Linked DNA regions of Saccharomyces cerevisiae S288C. Changing the gene in region 1 together with any one later gene gives a genetic interaction. Each region holds a gene or a part of one and is shown on either strand. Other genes may lie near its edges.

What was found.
Region 2: mutations in UBC6 (region 1) and PEF1 together harm fitness more than expected from each alone (negative genetic interaction), as found in Saccharomyces cerevisiae (2 studies listed by BioGRID).
Region 3: mutations in UBC6 (region 1) and MCT1 together harm fitness more than expected from each alone (negative genetic interaction), as found in Saccharomyces cerevisiae (2 studies listed by BioGRID).
Region 4: mutations in UBC6 (region 1) and YCL002C together harm fitness more than expected from each alone (negative genetic interaction), as found in Saccharomyces cerevisiae (2 studies listed by BioGRID).

The regions. Positions count from the first base shown.
Region 1 is NC_001137.3:357,768-360,814, reverse strand, and holds UBC6 (E2 ubiquitin-conjugating protein UBC6), read right to left. Parts: upstream 1,254-3,047; coding exon 501-1,253; downstream 1-500. Other genes in the region: AST2 (Ast2p), read left to right, coding at 1-313; ribose phosphate diphosphokinase subunit PRS2, read left to right, coding at 1,754-2,710. UniProt on the Saccharomyces cerevisiae protein: Catalyzes the covalent attachment of ubiquitin to other proteins. Functions in degradation of misfolded or regulated proteins localized in the endoplasmic reticulum (ER) lumen or membrane via the ubiquitin-proteasome system.
Region 2 is NC_001139.9:604,244-607,643, reverse strand, and holds PEF1 (Pef1p), read right to left. Parts: upstream 1,509-3,400; coding exon 501-1,508; downstream 1-500. Other genes in the region: septin SPR3, read right to left, coding at 1-81; LST7 (Lst7p), read left to right, coding at 2,143-2,871; RSC subunit protein RSC1, read right to left, coding at 3,197-3,400. UniProt on the Saccharomyces cerevisiae protein: Calcium-binding protein that is required for polar bud growth and cell wall abscission. Can also bind zinc ions.
Region 3 is NC_001147.6:755,976-759,097, reverse strand, and holds MCT1 ([acyl-carrier-protein] S-malonyltransferase), read left to right. Parts: upstream 1-1,539; coding exon 1,540-2,622; downstream 2,623-3,122. Other genes in the region: ODC2 (mitochondrial 2-oxodicarboxylate carrier), read right to left, coding at 1-768; RCN2 (Rcn2p), read right to left, coding at 2,973-3,122. UniProt on the Saccharomyces cerevisiae protein: Involved in biosynthesis of fatty acids in mitochondria.
Region 4 is NC_001135.5:110,308-113,250, forward strand, and holds YCL002C (uncharacterized protein), read right to left. Parts: upstream 1,369-2,943; coding exon 1,327-1,368; intron 1,251-1,326; coding exon 501-1,250; downstream 1-500. Other genes in the region: PGS1 (CDP-diacylglycerol--glycerol-3-phosphate 3-phosphatidyltransferase), read left to right, coding at 1-363; RER1 (protein retrieval receptor), read left to right, coding at 1,609-2,175; YCL001W-A (uncharacterized protein), read left to right, coding at 2,773-2,943.

The DNA.
Region 1 (3,047 bases):
AGTTGGTGATTATGTTGGAAATTATAAGAAAGACGTCTTTGATTCTTGGGATAACCCTAGCGCCAATGCAAGAAAAATGTTTGGATCAATGTTATGGTCATACGATTATTCTCATTTTTACTTTGACCCCAATATCAAGATTATCCCCAAGAAGAATGATTGGATACATGAATGCGGCAAGCTGCTAAATGAGGGAGTCGTAGATTGCGTTGTTGATAAGGTTTATTCCTGGAAAAATTTCAAGGAAGCATTTTCCTATATGGCTACACAACGTGCTCAAGGTAAGCTTATAATGAAAGTTGAAGGTTTTTGAAATGGGAGTTTCTGTCTCCCTAGGTTTCACCTCATTTTTATTGAGGTTTCTTGGTCAATACATACTCAAAAATATAATTAATAATTCACAATGTTCATAATAAAAAGATCCGTTTTGTCTATATAATACTATTGATTTCTATTCTGTGTTGTCAAAATTTATCTAAAGTTTAGTTCATTTAATGGCTTCATTTCATAAAAAGGCCAACCAAAAACAAAAAAATAGCGATACCAATATAAACCATTGAAGAACTATCATTAGGTTCTTTGCCATCTTTCTTGGAATTATTTTCTGATTGTCTCAACGCTTGTTCAGCGCGTATTCTGTCTTCAGGGTCTAGAATTTCCTCCAACGAGATGACTTTTTCCTTCGCAGCCTTTGTAAAAGGGTCTTCTGTTTCATCACCTGTATTTGCCGCATCCCCCTCATCCAATTTTCTCTTTTCTAATGTCTCTACATTTTCCTGTACAACTTCCGGAAAAATCAATTTGAATCTAACATTTTGAAAAGTGTTATAACTTATGGAATTTCTTGCTAATGTCTTCTTCTGATGGTCTGATGTTGTAATTGATCCTGTCGTGGCTTCATCACTGGTCATGAAACTTAGTAACCCGTTCAAAATGGTTGAGACAGACCAGCCAGGATTCCAAGTATCAGGGTGGTAATCACTCATAGAAAGGCATAATCGTGTGTTGGGCTTGAAACGTCCATTCGGTGTTATCATTCTGATAGCCGGTGGTTTGTATGGATAATCAGACGGGAAAGTTAAAGTACCGTGATATTGACCGCCCTTGTAAGGAGTATCCGCAGGTCCTGTGATAATATAGTGCCACTCTAAAATATTATCTTCGTTGGGGCGAGCAAGAATATATGGTGGAGGGTTTTCCACCATCAACTTGTACTCTTTCGTCAATCTCTTGTGAGCCTGCTTTGTAGCCATTACTATTGTACGTACTTTGTTTGCAATTTGCGAATGCGGTTTTAGTTAATATTTAAAGTCTTTTCTGCGATATGCGATGGTAGTCTTCTTTATCACGGCTCCTAAAGTGTGATAATCGGAAAGTTCCTTTCTGTTCTCTGCAATCGATTTCGGCTTTTTCTGAACACAAATAACCAAAATTTCCTTATTTTATTGGGGAGGCTATCCTAATTGTAAAGTGCAATATTGCTGTGGAAGGATATCGACTCAAGCGACCAGTGGAATAGGATGGCGAGTTGGCTAGTTTAGCTCTCTCCGACATTGTTGCTATTGAACAGATACGGTATGCCCGTGTATTTATCCTCCTACCAAATCGCGCAGCAAAATGGTTAAGCACGTGACTATTTTTCAACAATGAAAAAATTTTGAACAATAGATGATATGAGGAGGCATCGAGGGATTGCTAAGAAGAGGATATTCCTCATCATCCAAAGACTATCTTGTCGTAAGTTTCGTTGAATATGTCTACAAACAGTATTAAGTTGTTAGCTGGTAACTCACATCCTGGGCTTGCTGAGCTTATTTCCCAAAGGCTTGGTGTACCGTTATCTAAAGTGGGGGTATATCAGTATTCAAATAAAGAGACGTCTGTTACAATAGGGGAAAGCATTCGTGATGAAGACGTATATATCATCCAAACTGGTTACGGGGAACATGAAATCAACGATTTCTTAATGGAATTACTTATCTTAATTCACGCTTGTAAGACGGCATCAGTCAGAAGAATTACGGCAGTAATACCAAATTTCCCTTATGCTAGACAAGATAAGAAGGATAAATCGCGGGCGCCCATCACTGCGAAGCTGATTGCCAATCTTTTGGAAACTGCGGGTTGTGATCATGTTATTACTATGGATCTCCATGCTTCACAAATTCAAGGGTTTTTTCATATCCCGGTTGATAATTTATACGGTGAACCAAGTGTGTTGAATTACATAAGGACCAAAACAGATTTCAATAATGCGATACTGGTATCGCCTGATGCTGGTGGTGCGAAAAGGGTGGCTTCTTTAGCGGACAAGCTGGATATGAATTTTGCCTTGATTCATAAGGAGAGGCAAAAAGCTAATGAAGTTTCGCGAATGCTGCTTGTCGGTGATGTTGCTGGTAAGTCATGCTTGTTGATTGACGATATGGCTGACACGTGTGGTACGCTGGTGAAAGCCTGTGACACATTAATGGATCACGGTGCTAAGGAGGTTATCGCTATTGTCACACATGGTATATTTTCTGGCTCAGCTAGGGAGAAGTTAATAAATAGTAGGTTATCAAGAATTGTTTGCACCAACACGGTACCTGTTGATTTGGATTTGGACATTGTCGATCAGGTGGATATCAGCCCTACGATTGCAGAAGCTATCAGAAGATTGCATAATGGAGAATCAGTCTCATATTTATTTACACATGCGCCTGTTTAAAGAAGAGGTATAAACGAATATATTTGTATAAATGTACTAACAGATATTTTGAAAAAAAATGCGTATATCTATTCAGTATTAGCGCTTATGCTGCCACCAATATTCTTCATCTGGTCTCTATGAGATTTTCATTAAAGCTTAATCTTTTCTGATTTACCGCCCTTGCTTTTGGAAAATATGTGAAATTTTATTGTGCTCTAAAAAAAAAAAGTTATTACAGTAGGTGAAGTGAAATACAACTAAATTCGAAAGATCAGGAACAATAGAAAGAAACGTGGAAATTATTTAAAAAAGGAAGAAAAAATGGTACACTAATATTGATACTTTTAGAACAGAT
Region 2 (3,400 bases), on another chromosome or scaffold:
CACTTCCTCAGCGAATCCAGAGACTATCTTGGGAAATTCGACAGGACAGTCTGTTGACAACCGACTCCCTTTTGACTTCATAATAAAAATTCAATGACGCAAAAGGAATTTTAGGTTTTTATTATTTATTTATTTATTTCTGTTAATTGATCCTTTTCTTTCCACTACCAACAACAAAAAAGGGGGGAAAAAGATGTATAATCTAAAAGACACTAATCTGCTCTTGATATCCTTATTATGTAATGGAATAACTCATATAAATGTAAAATAGAACTTCAAATTAATATTATAATGATAGTCGAGGTCAGACACACTTATAATACATTAAGTAAAGAAAAAAAAATGTCTGTCATCGAGGTCTCTTTTGTGTCGCTAACAAAACATCACTAAATACGAAGACACTTTGCATGGGAAGGATGCAGCAAATGGCAAACTAACGGGCCATTGATTGGTTTACCTCTTCTATTTGTATTACGACCAGAAAGAACGAATGGTTTTCATCAATGAGGTAGGAAACGACCTAAATATAATGTAGCATCGATAAAATCTTTGTACTGTATGGTTGCAATGCCTTCTTGATTAGTATCGAATTTCCTGAATAATTTTGTTAATCTCATTAGCCAAACTAACGCCTCAACGAATTTATCAAACTTTAGTTCTTTTCCTGTTCCATTTCTGTTTATAAACTCAGCATATTGGTCAAATGTTTTCTCGCTAACTTCAAAAGGTATTAGATATCCTAGTTCTTGAAGTGAGTTATGAAATTCGCTTACAGAAATGGTGAGCGATCCGTTGATATCATTGTCCACATAAACTTTTCTCCAACTTTTCACTCTTTTGTATAGGGCGATGAATTCTGCCTGGTTGACAGTGCCAAACCTGGAAGCACCAAATAAATTTATCAGCGCATCTACTGATGATATACAAAAATGGGAGTTGTCGTCGTTTTGTAGTAAGTTCTGTAGTTCCTCAGCTGTCAGTCGGTTTTTGCCCTTTACATCATGGTTATGAAATAGCTGTGTGGCCACTTGCATGTCTCGTACATCTTCTCTGCTATCGAACGAAGCAGGTGCAACTTTCTTCAAGAGTTGTGCAGGCACTGCTTGATTGTGAATTAGGGGAGGAGGAGAGGAAGCTATCCGTTGAGCGGAAGTGTTCAAGTTGTTATAATGGGTTGGCGCTGGAGGTATAGGCCTGCCTGCTGGTTTCTGTGCGATAACATTATATCTAGGATCCACAGGTGTTTTCGTATGTCTTGGAGAATAACTTTGGGGAGAACCATAGGAGTGGTGACCGTTTTCTGCTCTGTTTTTGTTATATTGAGTTTGTAAGGGAATTGGAGCTGAGTGGACTCTAGTGTTGGGAGTTTGTGCTTGAGTAACCTTTATTTGTTGCTGTCGTTGTTTCTCTTTCTCGAATTCACGTCTAGTTTCCTCCATGGCCTCTTTAGGTGTAGCATAGCGTACAAAGTCATCGCCAGCAGCGTATTTGAGCTTCTTTGCACACATCGTTTAATGGTGTAGGTTTATAGTTATTTTATGCGGTATACGGTATACATACATGTTCAGTGAAATAGCAATTCCCATCGCTTTGTATTCCTGCGGTTTTTTTATTCGGATAGTTTCTAAATAAAAAAAATCGACAAGACCCTGAGCCAGATGACTGAAATTATCAGTTGTTAAAAGCGATGGAGCACTATCCAATATGCGTATTGTTTTCTTCTTCTGAGTTATGTATATAATGGTGAACTACAAGATTATATAGATTCAGGTGCAAGGTATTGAGCATGACACATGCTGTGTGTATCGTGGCCTATTCACTGTGGCCTATTTCATTCCACTTCCACTGAATATCATTTCAAATGTATTAAAAGACTTTTGAAAGTAACACTGATAGTATGTTGTAGTTGTTCTTGGAAATGTTGAACCAAACCGATTGTTCATTCGCCAAGTTCGAAGATGCCGTTTTCGTACTTGCCAGAAAAAACACGCTTGAAAAAGAAAATCTTGAGTAAAAAGAAAAGGGCTTAGGAATCTTCTATTCGATGACCATCAAACGATAAATGAAGCAATAAAGTCCAACTAACTAGCACCTCCATAAAATAAGTTAGCGTTTAAATGGTTGATGAAATAGATGCATAGAATGTCCTCGACAGTGATTTCATTGGCTCATTTCTGCGACAAGCATGGCCCAAGGATCATATCAGTTACACAATCCGCAGAAAAGGGAACGCTAGGTGAAGAATTACTAGTGCCTGATTATCCAACTGAATCATATTGCGAATCATGTCTTTTACAGTTTCCTGAAGAGTCAACTAGATCGATGCGGTGCTTCATCGAAGATGTTCCGTTTATAACTACCCAATATTCTTCTATAAGATACCAATTGCTAAATTCTATTATTAAAAGAGCCTTTTCTGAAGAAACAATGATTTATGATAATATGCCTTTTATATTTTTTGATGATCTTAGAGGATTGAACTTAGTTATAGGCTTTAAACTGTATGATGAAAATGCTAGAGGCAATGAAAGAAGATATTGTTTTATTTTAACAGTCGATTCCAGAAGCCATGACGATTCTATGAAAATGTTGAGTGAACACTGGAACTTTATCATCGGTGGATTTGATAAAATGATTGCATATATTAAAAACATTCATAAAAGCGAATTCTTGGGGAAAAATAAAACGGTGGAAAACAATTTGGAAACATTGAATAATAACGCTTTCATTGGCTCATATTTACGTGCAAACAAATCTAAATTCGGCCGTAATTTGGTGTCTCTGACGGATGATAAATTTCTCTTCGTGCGAATACATAAATGGAATTCATTTTTACTCCATACAGTAATGAATGAAAATAAATTACCTTGACTCAAATAAACTGAGATAAATGCTGGTAACCTAATAACCGATGAAATTACGGCATGGAAAATTGTTGGAACAACCTCCTAGTTCCTTTTATTCTTTCATTTCGATTCGAAATAGTCATCAAGGCCGAATACTTTACTCCGACGTGGCTTCTGGGATGAATTTAAAAAGGAAAGCCATTCTGGACCGCGATAGATAAATAGTAAGCTAGGTTTACAATTGTGCGTTTTGAAAGGCAACAAAACGATTGAGGTCTATCGTATGAATAACAAAATATATATGGTATATGCATGAACATATATAGATACATGTGGTGAATTTATCATGGTCATAATTTATTAAATTCTCGTAATCTGAATGCAAGGTATTCAGCGGAAGAATTTAAGCCAAAAGCAGACGTGGTCGGGATATCTTCAATTTCGTGCTCGTCTTCTGTATCTTCGTTTTCGTCTTCACTCTCCTCCGCCGTATCGCATTCTTTCCCATCGTTATCACCGCTTGCAATTGTGCTTAAATCCATGAAATTAGAAGA
Region 3 (3,122 bases), on another chromosome or scaffold:
TAGGCACCAGTTGTATTTTTTAACAGCACTGCTGACCGCGTCCACACTTTGGATTCTGGATTTCACCACGTCAAAGGGAGTGTTAAGCATGGTCCCGACCGTACCACCGATCGCACCTGCAATAAGGTCATTTCTGGTCTTTTGTCCCTTTGTCTTTGCTACGGGCATGGAATTTCTCACTTGGTAGATAACACCGAAGTAGCCACCATTCCAAAGAGCGTTTCTCCACATGGTAGATTCGATACCCTTGTATAGCCCCATAATACCTTCGTTTTTGATTGTTTTTTTCAAACAGTCCATTGGTCCAAGATAGCTGGACTTGACGTCTTGCATCCTGATTTTGATCAATTCAAATGGAACAATAACTGCAGCTTCTGTCATACCAGCAGATGCACCAGCCGCAATGGAGATCTTCTGCGTAGTTTCATTCGTGTTGAATAGGTTTTTGAAGATTTTTTGATATTGATCGTTACATGCAAATTTGGTGGCTCTCTTTGGTGCTTCCATCAACATTGGTGAACTAATACCTCTGTAAAGTCTGCTAAACCCTTCCTTCTTTACAATTTTTTTCAAACAATCGATGACACCATTATATCTCTCTACTTGCTTTCCTACTGCAGCGGCAGTAGGCGTCGTCACCTCCAGTTGAAATCTTGTCTTAACAACATCAAGCGGATACATAACAGTTAACTCAGAAATACCGGCGACGGCACCTGATATGAACTGATATATAAAAGGCAATGGCTTTGCGTTTGAGTCTGATGACATATTACTTTGATGCTACCTCGAATTACTTGACTATATAGAATCTAACCCAGTAAAAAAGTGCAGAAGAGCTTCAGACTGAAAAAACGAAGAGAACGTTTTATAACAGAATTACTTGCAAATGCATGTCGAGTCGAAAGTGATCGCGACTGCACTGAGTCATCAACAACAAGATCTTTCGAGATAGACAGGCAAAAAAAGCTCACCACGAAAAAACTGAAAAAAAAAAAGTTCCAGAGGAATTTGCCTGGCATAGAATAATAGCATTCGTAGTACCACTATTTCATGTTAGAAATGCACAAGCAATTGAATGTCAACGACAGAAGAGGACTAAGTAGTATGCAGAAGAACTAGAACTCCTATCTGAGAAGAACTAATTGGTCAACCATGTCTCATTGTCCTTACATTTGATAAATGCCGATCTTCTAAAACAGTAAACACACGTTAGCATCGCCTTGTGTTAACGAAGTAAAAAGGCTTGCTAAACCGAAAGTACACAATATGCTTGTCTTGAGAAAGTTGGAAGAAAATTATAGGCCCTTAAATATACTCAAAATGCAGAAAGTGTCATCTTCTTACATGGCATTTTTTGGCCGTATGACAAGGCGCATTTCAACCTCCGATGGAGGAAGTAAACTGAGTATCGAACTCAAGGGTAAAACAAAGCTTACCAGTAACTTGCTGCATATTAGAACTATTCAATAACGTACACTGAGGGTAGTAACAAAGCGTTTTGCACTTTTCTGATCGTGGTACACATATATAAGCGTTTGTATGAAGCTACTAACCTTCCCAGGTCAAGGGACCTCCATCTCCATTTCGATATTAAAAGCGATAATAAGAAACAAATCAAGAGAATTCCAAACAATACTGAGTCAGAACGGCAAGGAATCAAATGATCTATTGCAGTACATCTTCCAGAACCCTTCCAGCCCCGGAAGCATTGCAGTCTGCTCCAACCTTTTCTATCAATTGTACCAGATACTCTCGAATCCTTCTGATCCTCAAGATCAAGCACCAAAAAATATGACTAAGATCGATTCCCCCGACAAGAAAGACAATGAACAATGTTACCTTTTGGGTCACTCGCTAGGCGAGTTAACATGTCTGAGTGTTAATTCACTGTTTTCGTTAAAGGATCTTTTTGATATTGCTAATTTTAGAAATAAGTTAATGGTAACATCTACTGAAAAGTACTTAGTAGCCCACAATATCAACAGATCCAACAAATTTGAAATGTGGGCACTCTCTTCTCCGAGGGCCACAGATTTACCGCAAGAAGTGCAAAAACTACTAAATTCCCCTAATTTATTATCATCTTCACAAAATACCATTTCTGTAGCAAATGCAAATTCAGTAAAGCAATGTGTAGTCACCGGTCTGGTTGATGATTTAGAGTCCTTAAGAACAGAATTGAACTTAAGGTTCCCGCGTTTAAGAATTACAGAATTAACTAACCCATACAACATCCCCTTCCATAATAGCACTGTGTTGAGGCCCGTTCAGGAACCACTCTATGACTACATTTGGGATATATTAAAGAAAAACGGAACTCACACGTTGATGGAGTTGAACCATCCAATAATAGCTAACTTAGATGGTAATATATCTTACTATATTCATCATGCCCTAGATAGATTCGTTAAGTGTTCAAGCAGGACTGTGCAATTCACCATGTGTTATGATACCATAAACTCTGGAACCCCAGTGGAAATTGATAAGAGTATTTGCTTTGGCCCGGGCAATGTGATTTATAACCTTATTCGGAGAAATTGTCCCCAAGTGGACACTATAGAATACACCTCTTTAGCAACTATAGACGCTTATCACAAGGCGGCAGAGGAGAACAAAGATTGAGAAAGAGATCAAAACTGCGAACTCTCTCCACTCCCAGTCTGTGCTTCTACGCATTCATTGAAAATGGAAAGAGGACGAAAGTGTGCAAAAAATTAGCCAACTTCCCTTTATATAAATATCGTATACACATACATACATTCCTTCTATACTAATCGCTCTTGGATACACTAAAACAAATCCCTAATGCAAACATACATGTTATTATGCCATACAAAGTAAACACGCAAGTATATAAACGTATAAATGGATATATAGATATCTCTACGCATATTCTTTACATTATCATAGCATGAACCTTTTTCCCTTTTTCTGCTTTGTCTAATTTATAGTATTAGTTATGCTCTAGTGCTCTAATGGAAAAACTCGTTAACCGTTATGCTTGGACTTTTTGGAGGATTTGAGGCAGTAGCGTTTACATCATTTTCGGTACACGATGCAGCATTACTTCTAGTAGAAGTATCAATGGTCAATCCTAGTGGCTTAGAGGCGAAAAGGCATTT
Region 4 (2,943 bases), on another chromosome or scaffold:
GATCATGCTATTACATTAAGAGAATGGCAAAGAGGCGTAGTAAATAAGCCGAATGGTTGGTCATATCACGCAAAAGGTATTTGGCTTTCCGCTCGTGATAAAAATGATGCTAACAATTGGAAACCCTTTATCACGGTTATAGGATCTTCAAACTATACGAGAAGGGCGTATTCATTAGATTTGGAATCGAATGCTCTCATTATTACAAGAGATGAAGAGCTAAGAAAAAAAATGAAAGCAGAGTTAGATAATTTATTACAATATACAAAACCTGTAACTCTAGAAGACTTTCAATCAGACCCAGAAAGACATGTTGGCACTGGTGTAAAGATAGCTACCTCCATTTTGGGTAAAAAACTTTAGATTCTATTCTATCATAGTATGTCGCCTGTAAATATGGAAAAATAAAAGAAAAAATAGTAATAATAAATGCATTATCTAAAACTCCTTAAATTTGCAAACATCGCAAAGCCATTAAGGTAGAGAATGAGCTGACCTTGTTATAGTTTTCCTTTTGGCAACCGTGGTTTCCGTCCTACGTAAACATACTGAACTTGACAAAGTATGACCAATAAGGTGACAAATTGTATCAATTTTACCCAAAAGGGCGTTGAATTAAATGGTATCTCGTAAAACAATGCATTGGTCGGTATTACCAGTCTACCTAATAAATCGATAGATTCAGCCAAAAATGATATCAATGCAAACTTTGATGATAAACCTACTGTTGAGCATCCCATCCAGTTTATACTCATTTGAGGCACATACTTGAAACATTTAAGCAGATTTGCCATTACCCACAAATAATTTATGTGTTCCAAATAGAAAACGCCAAATTTACCTGAATTTTTCAACGGTAAATTAGAGATGGAACAGCCATATGTAAATATGCCTAATACAAGGAACACACTTATAATTATTATGGAAGTAATGGAAATGCCCTGATAAATATGTTTAGTTGACCTATAATAGTATAACTGCCTTAAAACCATCATGCAGCAACAGGAAACGCAAAAATCTTTTAGAATGAGGAAACTGGATATAGGTATACTACGGGCATCATTCAACGGATAAAAAAGTGGGAATCTTTGAGACAGTTGTTCCCTCACCAGAGATGAATAACAATAATGCAACGCGCAATACAAGTACAGACCATTACCAACAAAATCTAGCAGAAATAAATCATATGAAAGCCCGTAAATAGATCGATGAAGTTTATTATAGCGCTTTTGACATAGAATGGCGATGATCTATGTAAGAAATGGAAGTTTTCTCCCTTAGTTAGTCAAACCTTTCATGTATACTTTCTCCTTCAATTATGCATACTGATAAAAAACCTGCCAAGCCCTGCAGAACAATAACAAGCATGTGAATGATTCAATATAATTGCTTCGCAGGGCTCCTCAACCTCTCCTCTGGAAAACCTTACCTCAATGAGGTTAAAAATTGTGGGTTTTTCGTTCGCAGAGGAAAAAAAAACTTGTCAAAACACGCCTCTGCAGTAGAACACGAATTATACATAAGAAAAATAACGATACAAGAAAGGCGATTTCGATTTGGGACTAAGTGTTACACGAAAGGCATAGAGTATCAAAAAAAGGAAGCAAGATGGATTACGATAGCTCTGATACAATGAACGGTGGTTCAAGTAACCCCTTAATCACTAAGATGAATACAATGAAATTATTATATCAACACTATTTGGATAAAGTCACTCCTCACGCTAAGGAGAGGTGGGCTGTATTGGGTGGTTTGTTATGTTTGTTTATGGTTCGTATTACAATGGCCGAAGGCTGGTATGTGATTTGTTATGGTCTAGGTCTATTTTTATTGAATCAATTTTTAGCCTTTTTGACCCCAAAATTCGATATGTCCTTACAGCAAGATGAAGAAAACAACGAATTGGAAGCTGGAGAAAAATCAGAAGAATTCCGTCCATTCATCAGAAGATTACCAGAGTTCAAATTCTGGTATAACAGCATTAGAGCCACTGTCATTTCCCTCTTGTTGTCGCTATTTTCAATCTTCGATATTCCAGTATTTTGGCCCATCTTATTGATGTATTTCATATTATTGTTTTTTTTAACTATGAGAAGGCAGATTCAACATATGATAAAATATAGATATATACCCTTAGATATCGGTAAGAAGAAATATTCTCATTCTTCTAACTGATATACCCTGACTCCACATACCTATTCAACGAACACATTCGTATCTTAATTATATGTAAACAAAATTATATGATAGTTACAGAATAATTGTGATTATTTTCTCCTTCTACTCATCTTCTCTTATATTGGAAGAATACATGAAGTTATTGATTAAGCAAAATTGAAGGGAAGAGGCTCATTTTCTTCCATTTATAAATGGAGAGCTTGAGATGCCTCCAATTGATAAATTTTTGTAAAGACTTTCAAGAAACATGTCTAAAAAGAATTGACAGCTTCGAACCTTTCTGCATAATTACTAATACCAAATTAGTGAGAAATGGGGTATGTCGAGGAATAAAGGATGCAAAAGAGAGAGTAATGTCATGCAAGTTGTGAGTTTGAAATGTTCACACGTTTATAATGTCCATACTCCGTGGCGTGCATGTGTTTTAGTGTATTAGTTTTCCAAGTTATTAAAGAACTTAGTAAATTTATCATCGAACGCATTTTGATTAAGTGGCACAATAGACTTCAATGGAAAATGAAAATCATATCTGTAGCAAAAACGACAGCGAAGATAACGGTTACACAATTATCACGTTGATTCGTCAACTTAAAGATGACCTTTTTACAATTTATCAATAATAATAGACAAGAAGGACAAGGTTATATTTCAGAAAAATTATTCAAAACTAAGAAGAATGAGATGATAAGAAAAACAGTTACCAATTTAGTAGCTGTAAGATTAAAAAACTTATCCCACGAATTTGATGTAATAGAGAATTATCTG